4 linked regions of the Saccharomyces cerevisiae S288C genome follow. The main gene of each other region encodes a partner of the protein of the gene in region 3 in a complex. Each region holds a gene or a part of one and is shown on either strand. Other genes may lie near its edges. A codon is read from its position in the direction of its gene.

The links.
Region 1: the proteins of MTC5 (region 3) and NPR2 are in contact, whole or in part, in a cryo-EM structure (PDB 8AE6), measured with the Saccharomyces cerevisiae proteins. Residues at the interface, in NP_010413.3 of Saccharomyces cerevisiae: Asn28 (codon at 1,880), Arg44 (codon at 1,928), Pro67 (codon at 1,997), Trp68 (codon at 2,000), Gln69 (codon at 2,003), Val70 (codon at 2,006), Ala71 (codon at 2,009), Asn90 (codon at 2,066), Arg115 (codon at 2,141), Ala116 (codon at 2,144), Ile117 (codon at 2,147), Thr118 (codon at 2,150), Val135 (codon at 2,201), Thr137 (codon at 2,207), Arg158 (codon at 2,270), Ser159 (codon at 2,273), Ala160 (codon at 2,276), Ser162 (codon at 2,282), Gly179 (codon at 2,333), Asn180 (codon at 2,336), Ser202 (codon at 2,402), Ser203 (codon at 2,405), Asn222 (codon at 2,462), Trp249 (codon at 2,543), Arg250 (codon at 2,546), Met265 (codon at 2,591), Val266 (codon at 2,594), Arg303 (codon at 2,705), Phe383 (codon at 2,945), Arg384 (codon at 2,948); in NP_010852.4 of Saccharomyces cerevisiae: Gly7 (codon at 2,387), Phe8 (codon at 2,384), Phe31 (codon at 2,315), Pro32 (codon at 2,312), Pro33 (codon at 2,309), Asp199 (codon at 1,811), Met202 (codon at 1,802), Arg203 (codon at 1,799), Gln206 (codon at 1,790), Asn209 (codon at 1,781), Asn210 (codon at 1,778), Tyr211 (codon at 1,775), Ser212 (codon at 1,772), Glu213 (codon at 1,769), Cys214 (codon at 1,766), Leu215 (codon at 1,763), Pro217 (codon at 1,757), Asp219 (codon at 1,751), Glu220 (codon at 1,748), Asp225 (codon at 1,733), Ile226 (codon at 1,730), Lys227 (codon at 1,727), Ile228 (codon at 1,724), Phe229 (codon at 1,721), Pro230 (codon at 1,718), Phe324 (codon at 1,436), Leu325 (codon at 1,433), Thr326 (codon at 1,430), Ala331 (codon at 1,415), Ser332 (codon at 1,412).
Region 2: the proteins of MTC5 (region 3) and SEC13 are in contact, whole or in part, in a cryo-EM structure (PDB 8ADL), measured with the Saccharomyces cerevisiae proteins. Residues at the interface, in NP_010413.3 of Saccharomyces cerevisiae: Thr616 (codon at 3,644), Thr617 (codon at 3,647), Pro618 (codon at 3,650), Val619 (codon at 3,653), Pro620 (codon at 3,656), Asn621 (codon at 3,659), Gly622 (codon at 3,662), Cys623 (codon at 3,665), Gly624 (codon at 3,668), Ser625 (codon at 3,671), Cys626 (codon at 3,674), Trp627 (codon at 3,677), Thr628 (codon at 3,680), Ala629 (codon at 3,683), Leu633 (codon at 3,695), Phe634 (codon at 3,698), Cys635 (codon at 3,701), Phe636 (codon at 3,704), Phe637 (codon at 3,707), Ala638 (codon at 3,710), Asn639 (codon at 3,713), Lys772 (codon at 4,112), Asn773 (codon at 4,115), Leu774 (codon at 4,118), Val775 (codon at 4,121), Ile776 (codon at 4,124), Ser777 (codon at 4,127), Lys778 (codon at 4,130), Phe780 (codon at 4,136), Leu783 (codon at 4,145); in NP_013309.1 of Saccharomyces cerevisiae: Val2 (codon at 1,599), Val3 (codon at 1,602), Ile4 (codon at 1,605), Ala5 (codon at 1,608), Asn6 (codon at 1,611), Ala7 (codon at 1,614), His8 (codon at 1,617), Asn9 (codon at 1,620), Glu10 (codon at 1,623), Leu11 (codon at 1,626), Ile12 (codon at 1,629), His13 (codon at 1,632), Asp14 (codon at 1,635), Ala15 (codon at 1,638), Val16 (codon at 1,641), Leu17 (codon at 1,644), Asp18 (codon at 1,647), Tyr19 (codon at 1,650), Tyr20 (codon at 1,653), Gly21 (codon at 1,656), Leu24 (codon at 1,665), Val38 (codon at 1,707), Trp57 (codon at 1,764), His63 (codon at 1,782), Tyr75 (codon at 1,818), Ser101 (codon at 1,896), Asn103 (codon at 1,902), His110 (codon at 1,923), Glu111 (codon at 1,926), Ser121 (codon at 1,956).
Region 4: the proteins of MTC5 (region 3) and IML1 are in contact, whole or in part, in a cryo-EM structure (PDB 8ADL), measured with the Saccharomyces cerevisiae proteins. Residues at the interface, in NP_010413.3 of Saccharomyces cerevisiae: His64 (codon at 1,988), Pro67 (codon at 1,997), Trp68 (codon at 2,000), Asn90 (codon at 2,066), Gln91 (codon at 2,069), Lys92 (codon at 2,072), Ile94 (codon at 2,078), Asn104 (codon at 2,108), Ala105 (codon at 2,111), Ile106 (codon at 2,114), Val109 (codon at 2,123), His111 (codon at 2,129), Ser114 (codon at 2,138), Arg115 (codon at 2,141), Asp136 (codon at 2,204), Tyr138 (codon at 2,210), Arg149 (codon at 2,243), Ser153 (codon at 2,255), Thr154 (codon at 2,258), Trp157 (codon at 2,267), Arg158 (codon at 2,270), Arg188 (codon at 2,360), Lys189 (codon at 2,363), Gly190 (codon at 2,366), Ser191 (codon at 2,369), Thr192 (codon at 2,372); in NP_012672.1 of Saccharomyces cerevisiae: Phe292 (codon at 2,538), Gln298 (codon at 2,556), Asp336 (codon at 2,670), Met379 (codon at 2,799), Glu380 (codon at 2,802), Arg382 (codon at 2,808), Lys383 (codon at 2,811), Leu386 (codon at 2,820), Asn387 (codon at 2,823), Tyr394 (codon at 2,844), Ser395 (codon at 2,847), Val396 (codon at 2,850), Ala397 (codon at 2,853), Gln526 (codon at 3,240), Met527 (codon at 3,243), Met528 (codon at 3,246), Gly529 (codon at 3,249), Ile530 (codon at 3,252), Thr531 (codon at 3,255), Asn533 (codon at 3,261), Glu534 (codon at 3,264).

The regions. Positions count from the first base shown.
Region 1 is NC_001137.3:32,453-36,811, reverse strand, and holds NPR2 (nitrogen permease regulating protein NPR2), read right to left. Parts: upstream 2,406-4,359; coding exon 558-2,405; downstream 1-557. Other genes in the region: kinesin motor protein CIN8, read left to right, coding at 1-277; arginine permease CAN1, read left to right, coding at 3,346-4,359. UniProt on the Saccharomyces cerevisiae protein: Component of the SEA complex which coats the vacuolar membrane and is involved in intracellular trafficking, autophagy, response to nitrogen starvation, and amino acid biogenesis. Mediates inactivation of the TORC1 complex in response to amino acid starvation.
Region 2 is NC_001144.5:557,956-561,001, forward strand, and holds SEC13 (GTPase-activating protein SEC13), read left to right. Parts: upstream 1-1,595; coding exon 1,596-2,489; downstream 2,490-3,046. Other genes in the region: ubiquitin ligase complex subunit HRD3, read left to right, coding at 1-1,334; PNP1 (purine-nucleoside phosphorylase), read right to left, coding at 2,842-3,046. UniProt on the Saccharomyces cerevisiae protein: Functions as a component of the nuclear pore complex (NPC) and the COPII coat. It is one of 5 proteins constituting the COPII coat, which is involved in anterograde (ER to Golgi) double-membrane transport vesicle formation.
Region 3 is NC_001136.10:707,751-713,514, forward strand, and holds MTC5 (Mtc5p), read left to right. Parts: upstream 1-1,798; coding exon 1,799-5,245; downstream 5,246-5,764. Other genes in the region: ARO1 (pentafunctional protein ARO1p), read left to right, coding at 1-1,500; SAC6 (fimbrin), read right to left, coding at 5,590-5,764. UniProt on the Saccharomyces cerevisiae protein: Component of the SEA complex which coats the vacuolar membrane and is involved in intracellular trafficking, autophagy, response to nitrogen starvation, and amino acid biogenesis. May be involved in telomere capping.
Region 4 is NC_001142.9:682,903-689,875, forward strand, and holds IML1 (GTPase-activating protein IML1), read left to right. Parts: upstream 1-1,664; coding exon 1,665-6,419; downstream 6,420-6,973. Other genes in the region: MET5 (sulfite reductase (NADPH) subunit beta), read right to left, coding at 1-383; HOM6 (homoserine dehydrogenase), read right to left, coding at 6,543-6,973. UniProt on the Saccharomyces cerevisiae protein: Component of the SEA complex which coats the vacuolar membrane and is involved in intracellular trafficking, autophagy, response to nitrogen starvation, and amino acid biogenesis.

The sequences.
Region 1 (4,359 bases), on a different chromosome or scaffold from region 3:
CTCTCATATAACTAATGTGGATGATATCTATAATACGATTGAAAACATAATGAAAAACTATGGTAACAAGGAAAACGCTACCAAAGACGAAATGATCGAGAACATATTGAAGGAAATACCAAATCTAAGTAAGAAAATGCCGTTAAGGTTATCAAACATAAATAGCAATTCAGTGCAAAGTGTAATATCGCCCAAAAAGCATGCAATTGAAGATGAAAACAAATCCAGTGAAAATGTGGACAATGAGGGCTCGAGAAAAATGTTAAAGATTGAATAGTTGATATTGCCTTTCAGTCGAATATATATTCAAACTAGTGGTTAATAAAAACAAAGTATGTAAAGAATACTCAGTTATTCATTAGAAGGCAAGACAGAAGAGAAGGGTGTGAAACCACCTCTACCAAACACACCAAGAGATGAACCTAAATCAAATTTTCACAGAGCTAACTATATAAACGTTTGGATTCGTGTGTACTATCTTTATTTACGGAAATAAGTTGTAATATTAAAAAAAAAAAAAAACATTTTGATGGACAATGAATTTCTCTAATTTTAACTCAGCTATTAATTACCTTAAATTCTCCTAATTCGTTTAGGTAGCTTTCGACTTCTAATTTAGGCTTGCTCAGTAAAACGCAAATTTTATCAAATGTTTCGGCATTCCTAATAGACTCTTCAAGAATACCTTCTTCTTCGTCGCTGAGTTTCGGCATAGTACTTTTGCCTGTTGCCAACGAACTTACCCTTTGCATTTCAAATGAAACCTTTGATGGTCTTTCTGGTTTCAAGTTGCCGGATTGTGCCGTATTTCTAGACCCTGTGGCTGAAAGCAAATGATTGTGATTTCTTTTTTCAAGTAACTTATCATTATTCACTAAATCTTTTGTTATTATTGGTGTCATTTCTTTTGGTTCACGTGAACCTGCATTTATCATTACAGGAAAAGAGTAGCACCTGTAAATGATACGTTTTTCCAGGCCAAACGTTATGAACCTTCTTATATCAATGTTATTTTCTTTTAAAATCATATATTTCGACTCATACCATGTTTTCAGCGTTTGACCTTGTGAAAGTGACCTATAAAGGTCAAATAGGCATGATCTTGTTGGTAGGAATCGGTTACGATTGTTGATGACATGAATATTTGAACTCGAGCAGGAGGTTTGTGATTGCCTCCAGTCTTTATAAATTGATGAAAAAGAGGAATTTAAGGAGGAGTTTTGAGAAACTCTACTGGTAGAACTAAAAGATGTAGTTCTAGAATCCGGGTTTGACGGTATGCTAGATGATTTGGATTTTCTTCGTACAGAAAATGATGGTGAGTCTTGGTCACCTGAACCCAGACTTTTGTTTAAGGGCAAGTTCGATATTTTAGACACTTCTGGGAACGTAACATAAGATTGACAGTCACTAGCCATTAGTGGATCAGTCAAAAAATTCCTAATTAATGAAGAAGGAGCGTATATGTTAGAAAATTGGAAAATATCTGATAATGTAACACACTTATAGTATATTAAGTGACGTATGCACTCTATCACTAGGCCAGGATCACTGTTGCTTAGTTTAGAAATTTTGGCAATGCTGTTTAAGCCATCAATGTAAGGGACTATACTCATCATGGTTGGATCCCAGTTGACATCAATAATCTTCTTCAAATTTACAGACGACAGGGGCACATCTTCTAATGAGACACAAGTTGTCGGTGGTCTCAACAGCGGAAAAATCTTTATGTCTACTGCATTTCCCTCATCAATTGGTATGAGGCATTCGGAATAGTTATTCAGGTCTTGGAAAATTCTCATCAATAAATCTTGTATGGAAAATGCGGATTGCGGAAGGCCCAAATCCTTGATAAGGTCACTGTATCTGCTGCTTCTCATATCCTTTGTATCCTTTTCGGATGTAGGATGAGTTGGTGTGGTGTTACTACTAGGATTTGGCGTGGATGAAGGACCTGCAGTGGAGGGTGTTGTTGTGGAGTTTTCCAACACCTTCAAATCGAAGAAAACTGGATCTCTTTCCGATTTGGATAGCAATTGATTTTGTTCTTCAAGAACTTTGAACATTTTGCCCAGCCTAGTAATAGCTGGTTCGTAGGGAGACGTCTCACAATCATATGGGAATACAAATACAAAATTAAAACTAAAAAAATTCCTAGCATATATTGGAGAATTGATTGTCACAGGATAACATACAATCCTATATGTACCATACTTAAAAGTGATCAACTTGTGGCATAATATAGGCTTCGGTATGATGTAGTTTTTAAATGTGTTGAAATTAATACCATGATTTTTCAAATTATTTGGCGGAAACTCGTATTTAATCTTAGAACCTTCTGTAGGATGGAACACGGAGTAAAATATTGTGTGTATGGGCACAAACCCTTGGAAATAGCTTAGCATTTGCCGTTGGCCTGATGATCTGACCATTCCCTTTAGTAGAGAAAGAAAGTCGCTTCAAGCTAACCCAGTTTTCTTTTTTTTTATCACTTATCAGTCCTATTCGGAGATACAGGCAACAAGTGATAGAGGGCCCATTATGAATACGCACCTCTATGTATTTCCGAGATACGATTACTCCAGTTCCTCTTACAAGAAATGCATAAAAATAGTTACAATTAATTAGAACAAGAACTTATTTAGAACACGTTCACACTGAGTAAGAACTCTTGTCCCTTATTAGCCTTGATAGTGCTGAAAAAAAGAAAAAAAACAAAAAAAAGAAATAAAATAACGGCAAACAGCAAAGGCCACAGAACCGTATTCATGTTACTTCTGCAATATCAATCACTTACTGGCAAGTGCGTATAAATTAAACCTATTTCTTTATCATCATATTTACTTATATCTTTAACAGATTCCAAACCCTAAAGTGTCCGAATTTTCAATAGGGCGAACTTGAAGAATAACCAAGGTCAATAATATATCTTTTAGTATAACCCTGAAATTTGCCCTATAGAAATCTAGGGTTTCTGTGTGGTTTCCGGGTGAGTCATACGGCTTTTTTGAATTTCTTTTTTTGCAGTTGTCTCTATCAATGAAAATTTCGAGGAAGACGATAAGGTTAAGATAAGTAGATAAGAGAATGATACGAGATAAAGCACAAATTAGCAGAAAGAAGAGTGGTTGCGAACAGAGTAAACCGAATCAGGGAATCCCTTTTTGCAAAAACATCAATTATCCTTTTCTTTTTTTTACGTATATATCTGGAACAGAAATATATAAGTTACTATTATACTTATAGTTGGATCCAGTTTTTAATCTGTCGTCAATCGAAAGTTTATTTCAGAGTTCTTCAGACTTCTTAACTCCTGTAAAAACAAAAAAAAAAAAAGGCATAGCAATGACAAATTCAAAAGAAGACGCCGACATAGAGGAGAAGCATATGTACAATGAGCCGGTCACAACCCTCTTTCACGACGTTGAAGCTTCACAAACACACCACAGACGTGGGTCAATACCATTGAAAGATGAGAAAAGTAAAGAATTGTATCCATTGCGCTCTTTCCCGACGAGAGTAAATGGCGAGGATACGTTCTCTATGGAGGATGGCATAGGTGATGAAGATGAAGGAGAAGTACAGAACGCTGAAGTGAAGAGAGAGCTTAAGCAAAGACATATTGGTATGATTGCCCTTGGTGGTACTATTGGTACAGGTCTTTTCATTGGTTTATCCACACCTCTGACCAACGCCGGCCCAGTGGGCGCTCTTATATCATATTTATTTATGGGTTCTTTGGCATATTCTGTCACGCAGTCCTTGGGTGAAATGGCTACATTCATCCCTGTTACATCCTCTTTCACAGTTTTCTCACAAAGATTCCTTTCTCCAGCATTTGGTGCGGCCAATGGTTACATGTATTGGTTTTCTTGGGCAATCACTTTTGCCCTGGAACTTAGTGTAGTTGGCCAAGTCATTCAATTTTGGACGTACAAAGTTCCACTGGCGGCATGGATTAGTATTTTTTGGGTAATTATCACAATAATGAACTTGTTCCCTGTCAAATATTACGGTGAATTCGAGTTCTGGGTCGCTTCCATCAAAGTTTTAGCCATTATCGGGTTTCTAATATACTGTTTTTGTATGGTTTGTGGTGCTGGGGTTACCGGCCCAGTTGGATTCCGTTATTGGAGAAACCCAGGTGCCTGGGGTCCAGGTATAATATCTAAGGATAAAAACGAAGGGAGGTTCTTAGGTTGGGTTTCCTCTTTGATTAACGCTGCCTTCACATTTCAAGGTACTGAACTAGTTGGTATCACTGCTGGTGAAGCTGCAAACCCCAGAAAATCCGTTCCAAGAGCCATCAAAAAAGTTGTTTTCCGTATCTTAACCTTCTACATTGGCTCTCTATTATTC
Region 2 (3,046 bases), on a different chromosome or scaffold from region 3:
ATATTCATATGGCCGAAGAGATCCTGACCACGTCGCTAGAAATAAGCAGAAGGGCACAGGGACCTATAGGTAGAGCGTGCATAGATCTGGGCTTAATAAATCAATACATCACAAACAATATTTCTCAAGCAATTTCGTATTATATGAAAGCTATGAAAACACAAGCTAACAATGGAATCGTAGAATTCCAATTATCCAAATTGGCCACTTCATTCCCTGAAGAAAAAATCGGCGACCCATTTAACTTAATGGAAACTGCCTACTTGAATGGATTCATTCCAGCCATATATGAGTTTGCAGTAATGATCGAATCTGGAATGAACAGTAAGAGTAGTGTGGAAAACACTGCTTACCTGTTCAAAACATTCGTTGACAAAAACGAAGCTATTATGGCACCTAAACTGAGGACAGCATTTGCCGCATTAATCAACGATCGTTCAGAAGTGGCTTTATGGGCTTATTCCCAACTAGCCGAGCAAGGCTACGAGACTGCTCAAGTCTCTGCCGCCTACTTAATGTACCAGTTGCCATATGAGTTTGAGGATCCTCCAAGAACCACAGATCAGAGAAAAACTTTGGCAATTTCCTACTATACAAGAGCGTTTAAACAGGGAAATATAGATGCTGGTGTTGTCGCGGGAGATATCTATTTTCAGATGCAGAATTACAGTAAAGCTATGGCTCTTTATCAGGGTGCAGCTTTGAAGTACTCTATACAGGCTATCTGGAACTTAGGGTACATGCATGAGCATGGGCTAGGTGTAAACAGAGATTTCCATCTTGCTAAACGTTACTACGACCAAGTTTCAGAACACGATCATAGATTTTACTTGGCTTCCAAATTGAGTGTTTTAAAATTACACCTAAAGTCATGGTTGACTTGGATCACCAGAGAAAAAGTAAACTACTGGAAACCTTCCTCGCCACTTAACCCTAACGAAGATACTCAGCACTCGAAGACTTCATGGTACAAGCAATTGACGAAGATTCTACAAAGAATGAGACATAAGGAGGATAGTGACAAAGCTGCGGAAGATTCTCACAAACACAGAACTGTAGTGCAGAATGGAGCTAACCATAGGGGTGACGACCAAGAGGAGGCTTCCGAGATTTTGGGCTTCCAAATGGAGGATCTTGTTACGATGGGATGTATCTTGGGGATATTCCTATTAAGTATATTAATGAGTACACTGGCGGCCCGTAGAGGCTGGAATGTCCGTTTCAATGGAGCACAATTAAATGCAAATGGTAACCGGCAGCAAGAGCAACAACAACAACAACAAGCACAAGGTCCCCCGGGCTGGGACTTCAATGTTCAGATATTCGCCATATGATGTGGTTTGTATAGATATATACATAGACTATCCATAGAAATCACCCACGCATTACCCGAAAGTTTTCAATAAAGCGAACAGCGAGAAGAAAAAAAGCGAAACCGACAGAGAATTACCACCCTAGAGCTTTAACCCCATTGAGATCAACACAATTTCGAACAGTGAAAGTGCATTGGCGAAGGTGATACAATTGGCTTCCAGCTCTGAATAATAATAACTTACAAGCGCAAAGATAACAGATAATTTTATATCAGCATACAAATGGTCGTCATAGCTAATGCGCACAACGAATTAATCCATGACGCTGTTCTAGACTATTATGGGAAGCGCCTTGCAACCTGCTCTTCTGACAAGACAATCAAGATCTTTGAAGTCGAAGGAGAAACACACAAGTTAATAGACACGTTGACTGGCCACGAAGGCCCAGTTTGGCGTGTTGATTGGGCACATCCTAAATTCGGAACCATTTTGGCATCGTGTTCTTATGATGGTAAAGTGTTGATTTGGAAGGAAGAAAACGGTAGATGGTCTCAAATTGCCGTTCATGCTGTCCACTCTGCTTCTGTCAACTCTGTTCAATGGGCTCCTCATGAATATGGCCCCCTACTGCTGGTTGCTTCCTCTGATGGTAAGGTCTCCGTAGTAGAGTTCAAAGAAAACGGTACTACTTCCCCAATAATCATCGATGCTCATGCCATTGGCGTTAACTCTGCTTCTTGGGCTCCAGCTACCATCGAAGAAGATGGTGAACACAACGGTACTAAAGAATCTCGCAAGTTTGTTACTGGGGGTGCTGACAATTTGGTAAAGATTTGGAAGTACAATTCAGATGCCCAAACTTATGTTCTGGAAAGCACCTTAGAAGGTCACAGCGATTGGGTTAGAGACGTAGCATGGTCACCTACTGTTCTTCTACGTTCTTATTTGGCCAGTGTTTCTCAAGATCGCACCTGTATTATTTGGACTCAAGACAATGAACAAGGCCCATGGAAAAAAACTTTATTAAAAGAAGAAAAATTCCCAGATGTTTTATGGAGAGCCAGTTGGTCTTTGTCAGGTAATGTACTAGCTCTTTCCGGTGGCGATAATAAAGTTACTTTATGGAAGGAAAATCTTGAGGGTAAATGGGAACCCGCTGGTGAAGTTCATCAGTGAAGAGTATCAAGAATTTAAAATGAAACATCTCAAAAGAAAAAAGAATGCAAATGAGTCTATCGACGAATTTGAAGGGAAATAAACGCATAATGTACAGTAACGTATAACAATTAAAGATTTGTGGAAGTTTTCAAAAACTTTTCAACTTTTTTCTTTGTTTTTTTTTTGCAACTTCTTATATTAATATTGTCATAGATATTTCTTATACAAAAACAAGCGAACAAAAATAATCGACGTATATACAATAGATATATAAGACTGTTTTTCTTCAATAGAACAGGCGAAATTATTCTACCGGCCGAAGGTACATCTTCCCGCTATGTAATAAATAGAGGTATTTAAGTTATAACAATTATAATTCCCCCATTACGGCAGCAATTAAGTTTTGCACGTCATTAGAGGCGATTTTACCATTCTCCAGTACTTCAGCGTGAGTCGCTTTGCCTTTTTCTAAGGGTACAGGTGATTCGTCCAACGCACTGGCAGGGCTATCCACCACGCAAGTATTGGTAATCAAACTTAAGGCCAAAACCCTCCATCCGCAATGTCTTGCAACA
Region 3 (5,764 bases):
ACTGAGAATTTGACTCCAATCTGTTATGGTTGTGAGGCTGTAGAGGTCAGAGTAGACCATTTGGCTAATTACTCTGCTGATTTCGTGAGTAAACAGTTATCTATATTGCGTAAAGCCACTGACAGTATTCCTATCATTTTTACTGTGCGAACCATGAAGCAAGGTGGCAACTTTCCTGATGAAGAGTTCAAAACCTTGAGAGAGCTATACGATATTGCCTTGAAGAATGGTGTTGAATTCCTTGACTTAGAACTAACTTTACCTACTGATATCCAATATGAGGTTATTAACAAAAGGGGCAACACCAAGATCATTGGTTCCCATCATGACTTCCAAGGATTATACTCCTGGGACGACGCTGAATGGGAAAACAGATTCAATCAAGCGTTAACTCTTGATGTGGATGTTGTAAAATTTGTGGGTACGGCTGTTAATTTCGAAGATAATTTGAGACTGGAACACTTTAGGGATACACACAAGAATAAGCCTTTAATTGCAGTTAATATGACTTCTAAAGGTAGCATTTCTCGTGTTTTGAATAATGTTTTAACACCTGTGACATCAGATTTATTGCCTAACTCCGCTGCCCCTGGCCAATTGACAGTAGCACAAATTAACAAGATGTATACATCTATGGGAGGTATCGAGCCTAAGGAACTGTTTGTTGTTGGAAAGCCAATTGGCCACTCTAGATCGCCAATTTTACATAACACTGGCTATGAAATTTTAGGTTTACCTCACAAGTTCGATAAATTTGAAACTGAATCCGCACAATTGGTGAAAGAAAAACTTTTGGACGGAAACAAGAACTTTGGCGGTGCTGCAGTCACAATTCCTCTGAAATTAGATATAATGCAGTACATGGATGAATTGACTGATGCTGCTAAAGTTATTGGTGCTGTAAACACAGTTATACCATTGGGTAACAAGAAGTTTAAGGGTGATAATACCGACTGGTTAGGTATCCGTAATGCCTTAATTAACAATGGCGTTCCCGAATATGTTGGTCATACCGCTGGTTTGGTTATCGGTGCAGGTGGCACTTCTAGAGCCGCCCTTTACGCCTTGCACAGTTTAGGTTGCAAAAAGATCTTCATAATCAACAGGACAACTTCGAAATTGAAGCCATTAATAGAGTCACTTCCATCTGAATTCAACATTATTGGAATAGAGTCCACTAAATCTATAGAAGAGATTAAGGAACACGTTGGCGTTGCTGTCAGCTGTGTACCAGCCGACAAACCATTAGATGACGAACTTTTAAGTAAGCTGGAGAGATTCCTTGTGAAAGGTGCCCATGCTGCTTTTGTACCAACCTTATTGGAAGCCGCATACAAACCAAGCGTTACTCCCGTTATGACAATTTCACAAGACAAATATCAATGGCACGTTGTCCCTGGATCACAAATGTTAGTACACCAAGGTGTAGCTCAGTTTGAAAAGTGGACAGGATTCAAGGGCCCTTTCAAGGCCATTTTTGATGCCGTTACGAAAGAGTAGACAATAATATATCTATCCTTTTTTATATTTTACAATGCTTCTATGATATCTTTACTAAGTATGAGTTGCCAAATAGTCAGTGTGACTGCTTACATACGTTGAATTTCTGTATATTTTTACTAAGTTGCAACAGTTAGATAATTACAAGTTACCCTTACATTCTGTGGGATGTAGTCGAAGAACATCTCAGAGTAGGTCATCAAAAGATGCAAATCAGCTGAGCACCCCACTTTCAAAAACATTGTAAGATATTTGAGGGAAATCGCCTCTGGCCCGTTTATTCACTGAAGAATTAATTATGTGCAGTAGTATAAATGAAGGTCCGTATAATTCGCCCACTTTTGGAAAATCATTATCGTTGAAAGTAGATGGTGGGTTCAATGCCGTATCTATCAATCCCTCTGGTAGGGATATTGTTTTGGCCAGTCGGCAAGGTCTTTATATTATCGACCTGGATGATCCGTTTACACCTCCAAGGTGGTTGCATCATATTACGCCCTGGCAAGTTGCTGATGTACAATGGTCGCCACATCCCGCAAAACCATATTGGATAGTCTCGACATCGAATCAAAAGGCAATCATATGGAACTTAGCAAAATCTTCATCAAATGCCATTGAGTTTGTACTTCATGGGCACTCAAGAGCAATTACAGATATAAACTTCAATCCGCAACATCCGGATGTTTTAGCTACCTGTTCAGTCGATACGTATGTACATGCTTGGGATATGAGAAGTCCACATAGACCATTTTATTCGACAAGTTCATGGAGATCTGCTGCTTCTCAAGTGAAGTGGAATTACAAGGATCCTAACGTCTTGGCATCTTCACATGGAAATGATATATTTGTGTGGGATTTGAGAAAAGGCTCCACTCCCCTCTGTTCTTTGAAAGGCCATGTAAGCTCCGTAAATAGCATAGATTTTAACCGGTTCAAATATTCTGAAATTATGTCGAGTTCGAACGATGGGACGGTGAAGTTTTGGGATTATTCAAAAAGTACGACAGAATCAAAGAGAACTGTAACAACAAATTTTCCAATCTGGAGAGGACGTTACCTTCCTTTTGGAGAAGGTTATTGTATTATGCCAATGGTTGGAGGCAATAACGCAGTTTATCTGATTAATCTATGCGACGATGATGACAGTGAACAAAATAAGAAGACGAAACTCCAGCCAATATATGCATTTAAAGGGCATAGTGACCGAGTAATTGACTTTCTTTGGAGATCAAGACATACGTGCGATGGGGATTACGACGATCGTGAATTTCAATTGGTTACTTGGTCCAAAGACTGCGATTTAAAACTATGGCCAATTTCTGATAGTATTTATGGGAAAGTTAACTTTGACAGAGGCAAGAGACTTGAGGAGAAACTACCAGATTATGATTATTGCTCATACAATAAGGAACCTGAAAATAGGGAAAATGTTCAAAAGAATGAGTTTAGGCGTTTACGAGAAAACTTTGTGACAACTTCTGGATTGAAGAAAAACAAGACAAACCACATAACATGGCTCTCAGGAATTAGAATGAATAGCGCAACTTCACAAGAGGATTTATTCAATGAGACAAAAATCCAAAATTTAGGAGAGGAAGTAAGCGCCATTGGTCACAAGTTCCCAAAAGTCGTTTTTGAAAAGATATCCGTGTCCACAAGGGAATTGTGCCTGACGCTTAATGGCCCCTGGTCAGAGGAAAATCCTGATGATTATATATTCTTACGAATAAGTATTAATTTCCCTCTCAACTATCCAAACAAAGGGGACCCCCCCAAATTCACAATTGAAGAGAATTCAAATTTAACCATGAGTAAGAGACAAGAAATACTTTCCAATTTAGCAACAATTGGTCAAAAGTATACTGACTCAAATCTTTACTGCCTGGAGCCATGTATACGATTTGTTTTAGGTGAGAAGGTTAGCCTGGAGGACATCGAAGAAGGGCAAGAACCCTTATTAAATTTTGATATTGCAGATCACATAGATTTTGAAGAATTATCGTCACTGGATAGTTCATATTCCGATTCTCAAAACCCGGAAAACCTTTCTTCGCAATCAGATATAGAGTCATACAAGGAAGCACTGGTATTCCCAGATACTTCGAATCAAGGTTTGGATTTTGGAAGAAATTTAGCTCTTGATACGACACCTGTTCCAAATGGGTGTGGATCTTGTTGGACTGCAACAGGTGAACTCTTCTGCTTCTTTGCAAATGAGAAAAAACCCGAGAAAAAGCAAAATGCAATAATTAAACTCTCTCAAAAAGAAGCAGGGGTAGAGAAGCATCCTTTTAAAATTGAGCCTCAAGTTTTATATGATAAGGAAGTTGACAGCAGTGTAATCACCGCTGCTGATGAATTGAAAGCTCGCCCTAAGCGGTACGTGGACACCTTGGGGCTGGGAGGCGGTACTAATGGGGATTCAAGAACATACTTTGACGACGAGACATCTTCCGACGATTCATTTGATAGTGTCGCGGACGATTGGGACGATATATTGAGAAATGATATAATAGTGAGAACAAAAATTCCAATACTAAGAGGTAATTTTAAAGCTTTCAGCTCAGTACATTCGGAATCCGGGAAAACAGTAGAATCTACCAAAAAAAATAAGAATTTAGTGATTTCCAAAAATTTCAGCAGTTTATTAAGCGACCGCAAAGAACTAGCATTAGAATACTTATTTATGGATGCCACACCGGAAGGATTTGCTAGAAATAACGCTTTGGTGGCAGAAAAGTTTGACCTTGATGAAATTAGTCATTGTTGGCAAATATTATCTGATATGTTGATAGACCAAAGTGATTACGATCCTTATACTACTATATGGAATAACCATCCCATGGGGATAAAGTGGTTCATAAAGGAAGCGATTGTCTACTTTGAGAGGCAACAAAATTTACAGATGCTGGCCATGTTATGCTGTGTCATATTAAGCGCCAGGAGAAAAAAGATTCCAGCCAGATATTATGGGCAAGAATTAGAGAATATGGAAGGAACCATTGTGTTTAATGACAACGAAAGTCAAAACACATCATTTTGGAAAGGATCTGATGCTTTTTCCACCAGGTCTAGGAGTAGCACTGTTACACCAAATTTTTATGGTAATCATTTGAGAGGAAAAAACATTCATGGAGGAGACAACTCCTCAATAAGGTCCGACGACCACCACGCTAGGTTAAGGACGCACAACACTCTTAATGGTAGTAGTAAATTTACGGAGCCGGCCCAAAAGCAGGGCAGCCGTGCCATTTCATCCAGCCCTTTTCATAGTAGAATGCCTGACATCAAAGTCGAGCTTTTACATGACGATATTATAGAAGCTTATGAACAAGAAGACCTCTTACATTTAGAGGTATCAGACATACCAAAGTTCCAAACTTATATTTATCAATATTCAAAGTTACTTTTTAGATGGGGACTGCCTTTAGAAAGGGTCAAAATTCTAAAAGTTAGTACTGATTTCAGAAGTTCTTATAGTTCCCAAGGCATCCCCCCTAACAATAACAAGAAAAGTCCTTACAATGGTGTACTTACGCACTGGATCGAGAACAACGAGTTTGGAGAAGAAAAATTCCTAGCCCGAAATTGTAATTACTGTGATTTAAGAGTGACAAGAAGTAGCTTCATATGTGGAAATTGTCAACATGTTTTACACTCTTCGTGCGCGAGGATATGGTGGGAGATTGGTGATGAGTGCCCATCTGGATGTGGGTGCAATTGTCCGGAAATGTTCGATGCCTAAAAGCTTAACTATCACGTACATTTTCTGCATATTTCAAAGAACCTTGGATGTATATGAAAAAAAGTTCACAGGATATATGGCTTAATAAGTAGTTTATTTACGATTTTTTAATCCAGTAGAGGCATGATAGAAGACGACAACGGAATCATTGAGCGTTGGAGGCATTTTTACAATGGCTCAGTAATCACGAATAAAAGTAGGTGGAAGTTGAAATCTATTATTACATATTAAAAACTTCAGAAATACTTGAGGCTATATATTGTTGTACACTTAACCAATCGTATAACGGAGCATTGGAACAAGAAAGCTGAGTAGAAAACAGGTTACGAAAGTTGTTTGTTGGCTCATTTGTTCAAAGTCATTAACGAAGCGATAAAAGTAATAATTAATCTTGCACGAACTTCGTTGATATCTTCTGGCACCAACCAAATCAAAGCACCCAACTTTCTAGCAATAGAAATAGCCAATCTTGCGTTTGCGTACCTTTCTTCCTCGGTGTTACCAGGGGTGACTAGATCA
Region 4 (6,973 bases), on a different chromosome or scaffold from region 3:
GTTTGCAAATCAGAAGATATTAAGATGGGGAAAGAAAGATCCTTTAACGCAGGAATTGCGGAATAATCTTGCAAATTCAAATCCACTGTAATCACCAATGGAAGTTTATTAGGAAGAGAATATAGATGGTGGATGGATTTGACCAAAGTAGTTTCATCTGTAAAAACGGTAGTTAAAATGTCCTTAGAGAGTTGATCTTTGATGGTATTCAATGGATCTTGATTGTTCAATAGATGAGTAGCATCTGTGGCAACAGATTCTAGCCCTTTGAAGGATGAATGACTATTTTTTGTGCTAGTAGTGTAGAACACTTTATTTTGGGGAGCACTAGAGGAATATTGCGCCAACAATTGTGGGAGCGTCAAGAGGTCAGAAGCAGTCATTCGCCAATCTTTTGTTTTTCTCTGGTTCCCGTTCCCTACTGTTACTTTATTAGTATATAAGGGATCTGAATAAATATCAAGACGATGGAAAAAAAATAACAAGCAAAGGAACCTTTCTATATCCCAATTTTATTTCACATTAAAAACTATCGTCTTCCAACACTTTATATAACTGCTTGCAGCGGCCAGTAATTCGTCGCATCTCCATGACTCAAATTTTCCAGTGTCTCTTAGCAGTTAAACCATTCCTGCCTCTGTGTGGTGGTAATTGTGGCATTATGAGTTAAGAGATAATACGCACGTGATGAAATTCATTCTGTGAAATATCACGTGGACAAATTATATTACCCGGATTCATAAATCCACGTATTTTACCTGCATCTTTATTGAGTGCTTAGTAAAAGTCAGTTGGTGAAATTCCGCAGATAAAACAGCATATTAGTTGCCTGAAAATAGCCTTATGTGTTGGTTTGATACGTCTTTGTCATTATATACCCAAAGGTTTGTAGTTCATGTTGCGGGTTGGTATGAATAAATTTTTCGTATTTAGTGATTATAATACTTATTACCCATTTCGGCGGCTAATAAGGAATCTGCTAAGATAGGTAAATGTACAATACCATCAATGGCTTCTAAAAGTTTTCAAAGAAGTGGGATAAGGGATGAAAGTTGTGCGTGTGTTGGTTACTTAGGTTCTAATTTGGCTTCAATTTGAAGTGAGATGTTTTGTTTAACATTAGTTTCAAATTAACAGCTTTTGTGAGAAAATATATTTTGGATGAATAGCAGAAAATAGAAATCTGGAAATAAACAAAACAGAGCCAAAATTCTAAGCTTAATAACATGAATATTTGTTTATCTAGCATCTTGTTCCTCCCACTCTTTTTCCGAAAATATGGCTAGCCAACTTAGGTGAATGGGGAAGGGTACTAGATTCATTCATTTATTTCTATTCAAGGACAAGAACTTTTAACATAGTAAGACCTTTATGTTAGTTTGGTGCGGCTGACAAATTCATAGCTAATGTGCTAGAGCTCTTATATTGGTAATTACTAATCCTTCATTGCTATTATGACTATCACATTATAAGGTAATGAAAAATTAAATCATTGTGTACGGATTAAGTCCTTTCTCTAAAAGAGATCACGTGACTATTTGAATCACTATCTATGTTAATCATTATTGTTTAAAAGATAGTAAGTGACAGAACAACGAATTGTTTCTGTAACTACTTTTTAAGCAGGGAAATAACTCAGCACTGACAAGGGACACTTTTTAAGGATGTTCGCTAAATTGCATGGGAAGAAACAAAGACCAATTTCTTCCATCAATTCACAAACTCCAAGGACTAGCAATACTACTCACGCAAATAGCATATCCTTATCATCGGGTAATTTGATAGTAGGTTCCAATAGAAATTTAAGACAAAAGAAAGAGCAGTTTGGTTCTCAACAAAGGGCTTCCGGCAGAAAGCTGATTTCAAATAAGGAAAATGACGATAACGTCAACAATGGTGGTGACAACAATTATGACAATGGGGAACGGGTCCATCGCCATCATATTCCAGGACTGAAAATAAAGGCGTATCAAGCTGAATTAGGCTATCATGAGTCCCGATTTTCCGAGAATTTAGTGATGCTAAATCTAGTTGAGTTCCCGGATATAAAACCTGGTGATTTGGTAGAATTGAAAACATATCACAAAAATCCATCTGCATCGAACGGAGATAAGAAAATTTATTTTATTGCAAAAGATTTTGACGGAGAGACTAAAAGAAGGGCAAAAACATCTAATGTTTCAATACTTTCGGGTCAACTGCAAACTTTGTTAGATTTGCCTTCTAGGTCTAGGATATGGATAAAATTGAAACCAAACAAATTTGACTTACAGGCAGATGTGGTAGAGTTTAATATCAAAGATTGCCTACTAAATAGAGGTGATATGTGGGTTCTATCATCTAAGCTGGTAGATACATGTGTGTTTATGGATCAAAGACTGGCATTCTTAGACTCTATCAGAGGTACTATTAAGGGAATTTATCGAAATGGTAAGAAGATTGTTTCTGGATATATTGGCGAACAAACAAGGATAATTTTTCGGTCCGAATCTGCCAGATTAATTTTTTTGATTCAAATAACTGATGAAATGTGGAACTTCGAAGAAACTGGTGAACAATTATTTCAAAAGATGGTTAATTCATTTTTCCCGAAGATCTTCAAAAAATGGAAAGATGTGGACACCCACCATACTATCACTATAGCCTTCGCTATATCAATGGACTTGTCTGATACATCATTCAAGGACTTAACACCCGGCGAATCTTTGAAAAATTCACAGGATTATTTTAGGATAGTTGTAGATCAAGTCAGTATTATCCATTGGGTTGATATTATGGAAACATTAAGAGAAGAATTTATGGAAATCAGAAAAGATTTATTAAACAAGCAAACGGATAAGGGTTACAGTGTAGCGAATGGAAGATTTTCACCTGTAATCAAGTCGAATTTTCTCGAATTGGTCAATTTTGCCACGACAATTTTAACGGATCCTTTCAAGCAATTAGATCTTCGACACACTACAACGCACGTCATGATTATTTCACCAGGGTCTGGATTATTTGACGTTGATTATAGTTTATTAAGGCTAACAGGAAAAAAACTACTCTCTCTTGAAATGACGATGGATTTAATATGTCTTTCAAAAGCTCCATTGCACATAGTTCCACTTTTTAGGTACCGAGACTTTGAGAACAAGCTTCATCATTGTGTACCGCTTTGGTTAAGTGTTTTCTTTTGGAATGATCATGACAAAAAGAGTAACTCAGAATGGACTCCAAGATGTAAAATTTATGACTTACAAATGATGGGGATTACTGAAAATGAGTTAATTCGGGAAGTGGATGTTGAATATTTACAGCTGAACAAGAAAGTCAAATCACTATCCGAGTTTATGAATGATTACGACAAAAATGCCTTCGAGGTGAAAATTTTATGCGCTGGCTCTAATACGAAACAATCTAAGAAATTAAATTCAAAGTTTGATACCGTCTTCGAGAATGATGTTGTTGTGAAGGCAAGGAAAATCCCGGCAACAGCAACAACAACACACGGTAACACAAAATTCATATGGAGAGGTCCAAAAGTTGCTCTCCCAGCCATTAAGGATATTCAAAAACCAAACGTAATACCAGATCTATCAATAAAAACAATAGAGGCCTCTTTTTATGATGATTGTAATACTACAAATGATAAAATTAGCACTCCCACCACTTCTAACAATGACAATCTCGAAATGAATGACTCATTGGTCTCTGTGAGATCTGCTGATAACCAAAACACATCTTTGGCGCTGGATTCGCTCAAAGGACTAAGCAAAAGGAACTCATTGAAAGATTTTACTCAAAGAGTAATTACAAAATTTATTTCGAACATAGACACAAGTAAAAATAAAAAAATAAAGTCAACATTACTCAGAGATGATGTGGATAACTCACCTTTAGGTTCAAATACACCACTACCATCTTCTGAAAGTAAAATAAGTGGCCTGAAATTACAACAAAAAGGCCTGGCAGATGAAAACGTTATCAGTAAACGTGGAAATTTGATAATAAAGAAAAACCTATCCATTTTTGGGCTACCTAGTAATGAAATCATGAGTGGTTCACCCTCCTCATATTTAGGCTCATCACATACCAGAACATCCTCTAAACTTTCTAATATGTCAGACAAGGCTGCTTTCATTACAGAAGGGCAAAAATCAAAACATGATGACTCGAACACTTATAGCCTCACACAGCAATTGAAACATCGTATAAGTGAAACTTGGGTGGATATTAAAAGTCCTTCCATTCCGGTAAGTAGTGAATTTGCCAACGAATTATTGCCTATACGTTGGAAAGATGTATGGCCAAAATATGTGGCCAGAAAATATAGTAAATGGAGGTCTTTTACAACCCCAGCAGAGTTACCAATCACAATTTCTGATTTTCCATCCAAGGATGATTTTGATAGGAACTTCATCTTCAGAAATCACTCAGTGACTTTAAACACAGATCAAGAACAATATAATCAGACATACAAAGACTTACTTCGTGATATGATTTATATGCGACTGTTAACTGGTTTTCAAATCTGCGTGGGCCGACAAGTAGAAAAAATAGAACTTTCTAGGGAAAGTGGTGAAAGTGAAACTGTAGTCAACAAGTATTTAGATTTCAATCAAAATGATGCGTTCAAACTTTATCTAATGATCGACTCTGAAATACACAGAATAACATGCTCGTCAAGTGGAATTATTGATGTGGAGAGGTATTTGAGAAAAGATGAAGCAAACTTGTTTGATCAGGTTCCTAGTTATATTCCGTTGGTTAAAACGAGATACGAGAGCTCATTTCGTGATGCTATGATTGACCCACTTCATGTTAAAAGAGAATCTTTGAACTGGAATCAAATTGATCAGGTTCTAGCAGGTTATGGCGATAACTTAATAGATAGGAAATGGCACGGATTTCGAGCTAAATATGTGGTGTTACCAACAGATATCCCTCCCAACACATATTCTATGGTTATCAATGGTAAAAGCGAAACTTTAAACCCAGAAGAAATCAGAGTCGAGGGTTTGAGAAGATTAATTGGCTCAATAACGAGGTCAAGACTAAGAACAGAGAAAGAAAAAAAAGGAAGAAAAACTAAGAGAGAAGAAATACAGCCTGAAGTTATGTTTTACACCGGCCCGCTTTACAACTTCATTAATGAGCAACAAACATCTTTAGAAAGCTCGGCTATAAATTTTAAAGATTCAATTTTTGTTAATGATAATAACCTTTTAAACAGAAATGTAGAACTATCCAAGTTGGCGTATCAAATTCAACGTGGCGAAGATCGCATTACTTTAGTCAACAGAAAATGGCACTGGAAAAAGCATGAAAAGTGTTTTGTTGGCTCGGAGATGGTTAATTGGCTCATAAGAAACTTCTCTGATATAGATACTCGAGAAGATGCAATTAAATATGGGCAGAAGGTGATGAAAGAGGGATTATTTGTTCACGTTTTAAATAAGCACAATTTTTTGGACGGGCACTACTTTTACCAGTTCTCACCTGAATACGTAATGGACACTAATAAACTAGAAAAAACAAACTCCCATCGCTCTACATTATCCGATCCAAAGCAGATGTTGAGAAAAGCATCCACTGGTAGCTCAAACGATCCAAGCGCTATGACTCCTTTTTCTTCAGTAGTACCTGCTATAAGCGCTTCGAATGCTTCAGTTGCTGACGCCAAAGAGCCATCACGCCCTATTTTAATGCTGAGTAACTCTCTTGTTATCGATGTTGATCCCGCGGGAAAATCCTCGAAACAAGAATCGTGTACAGTCCATTATGACAGAGTTCATAACCCCGACCACTGTTTTCACATAAGATTGGAATGGTTGACTACCACCCCAAAATTGATCGATGATTTGGTTGGGAACTGGTCAAGGTTATGCGAAAGGTACGGTTTGAAAATGATTGAAATTCCTTGGGAAGAACTTTGTACTATCCCTTCGGTCAATCCATTTCACTCTTTTGTGGAAATTAAGTTAGCTATCAATCCTTGGGAAGATCCTGAGTTCAAGGATAGGGAGCTTTTCGCTAAAAGCAAATTCTACTACCACGTTTATCTTTTAAAGGCATCTGGGTTTTTATTAGACAATAGGGCATCCAAATTTTTACAAAATCAAGATATAGAGTTTGACATCATGTATTCATGGGGCAAACCACAGTTCAAATATGTTCAATATATTCATCATACGGGTGCTTACGTCGCGGAATTGAGGGAAAATGGCTGCCTATTTTTAGCTCCTAACAACATTTATATATCCAGAGTGAATCCGGGAAACATAATCGGGAAAATTCATTCTGCTTCAAGCTCTTCATTAGATGCTCAAAAAGTGATCCTAAATTTCAAATCAACTTGCTTGGACTATCAGAAGTTAAGGTCAATTTTCCTTGACGCAAAGGAAATGTGGATTACAGGAAAGATTGTAGAAGATTGAGTAGCCCCATGACATGGATGAGTTTCTTCACAAAGTAAATAATATTCGAACGTGGATAGTAAAGCATAATGTTATCTATTTATATATAAATATACCTATGTTTTTATATGTCTGTTTACTGATCTAAAGTCTTTGAGCAATCTTGATAACATCACCCAAAACACCAGCGGCAGTAACGGCAGCACCGGCACCGGCACCTTGAATGACAACAGGATTGGTGTAACGCTTAGTCTTGATGGAAATAACGTTATCTGATCCCTTCAATGATGCGAATGGGTGTGAGTAATCGTACTTTTCAATTCCTACAGACACAGATTTGGTGGCAACATCGACTTTACCAATGAATCTCAATACCTTATTTTCAGTGGCAGCTTCCTTCTTCAATTGAGTCAAATCTTTATCGTAATCAGATAATTTTTCCAAGAATTCATCAGCAGACTTGACAGATTCCAATGGTTTTGGAATCAAAGACTGGACAGGGAAGGAAGTTGGAGATTCAACTTCCACACCAGATATCCTACCAACAATGGTAACCTTTCTAGCAACATCCAACC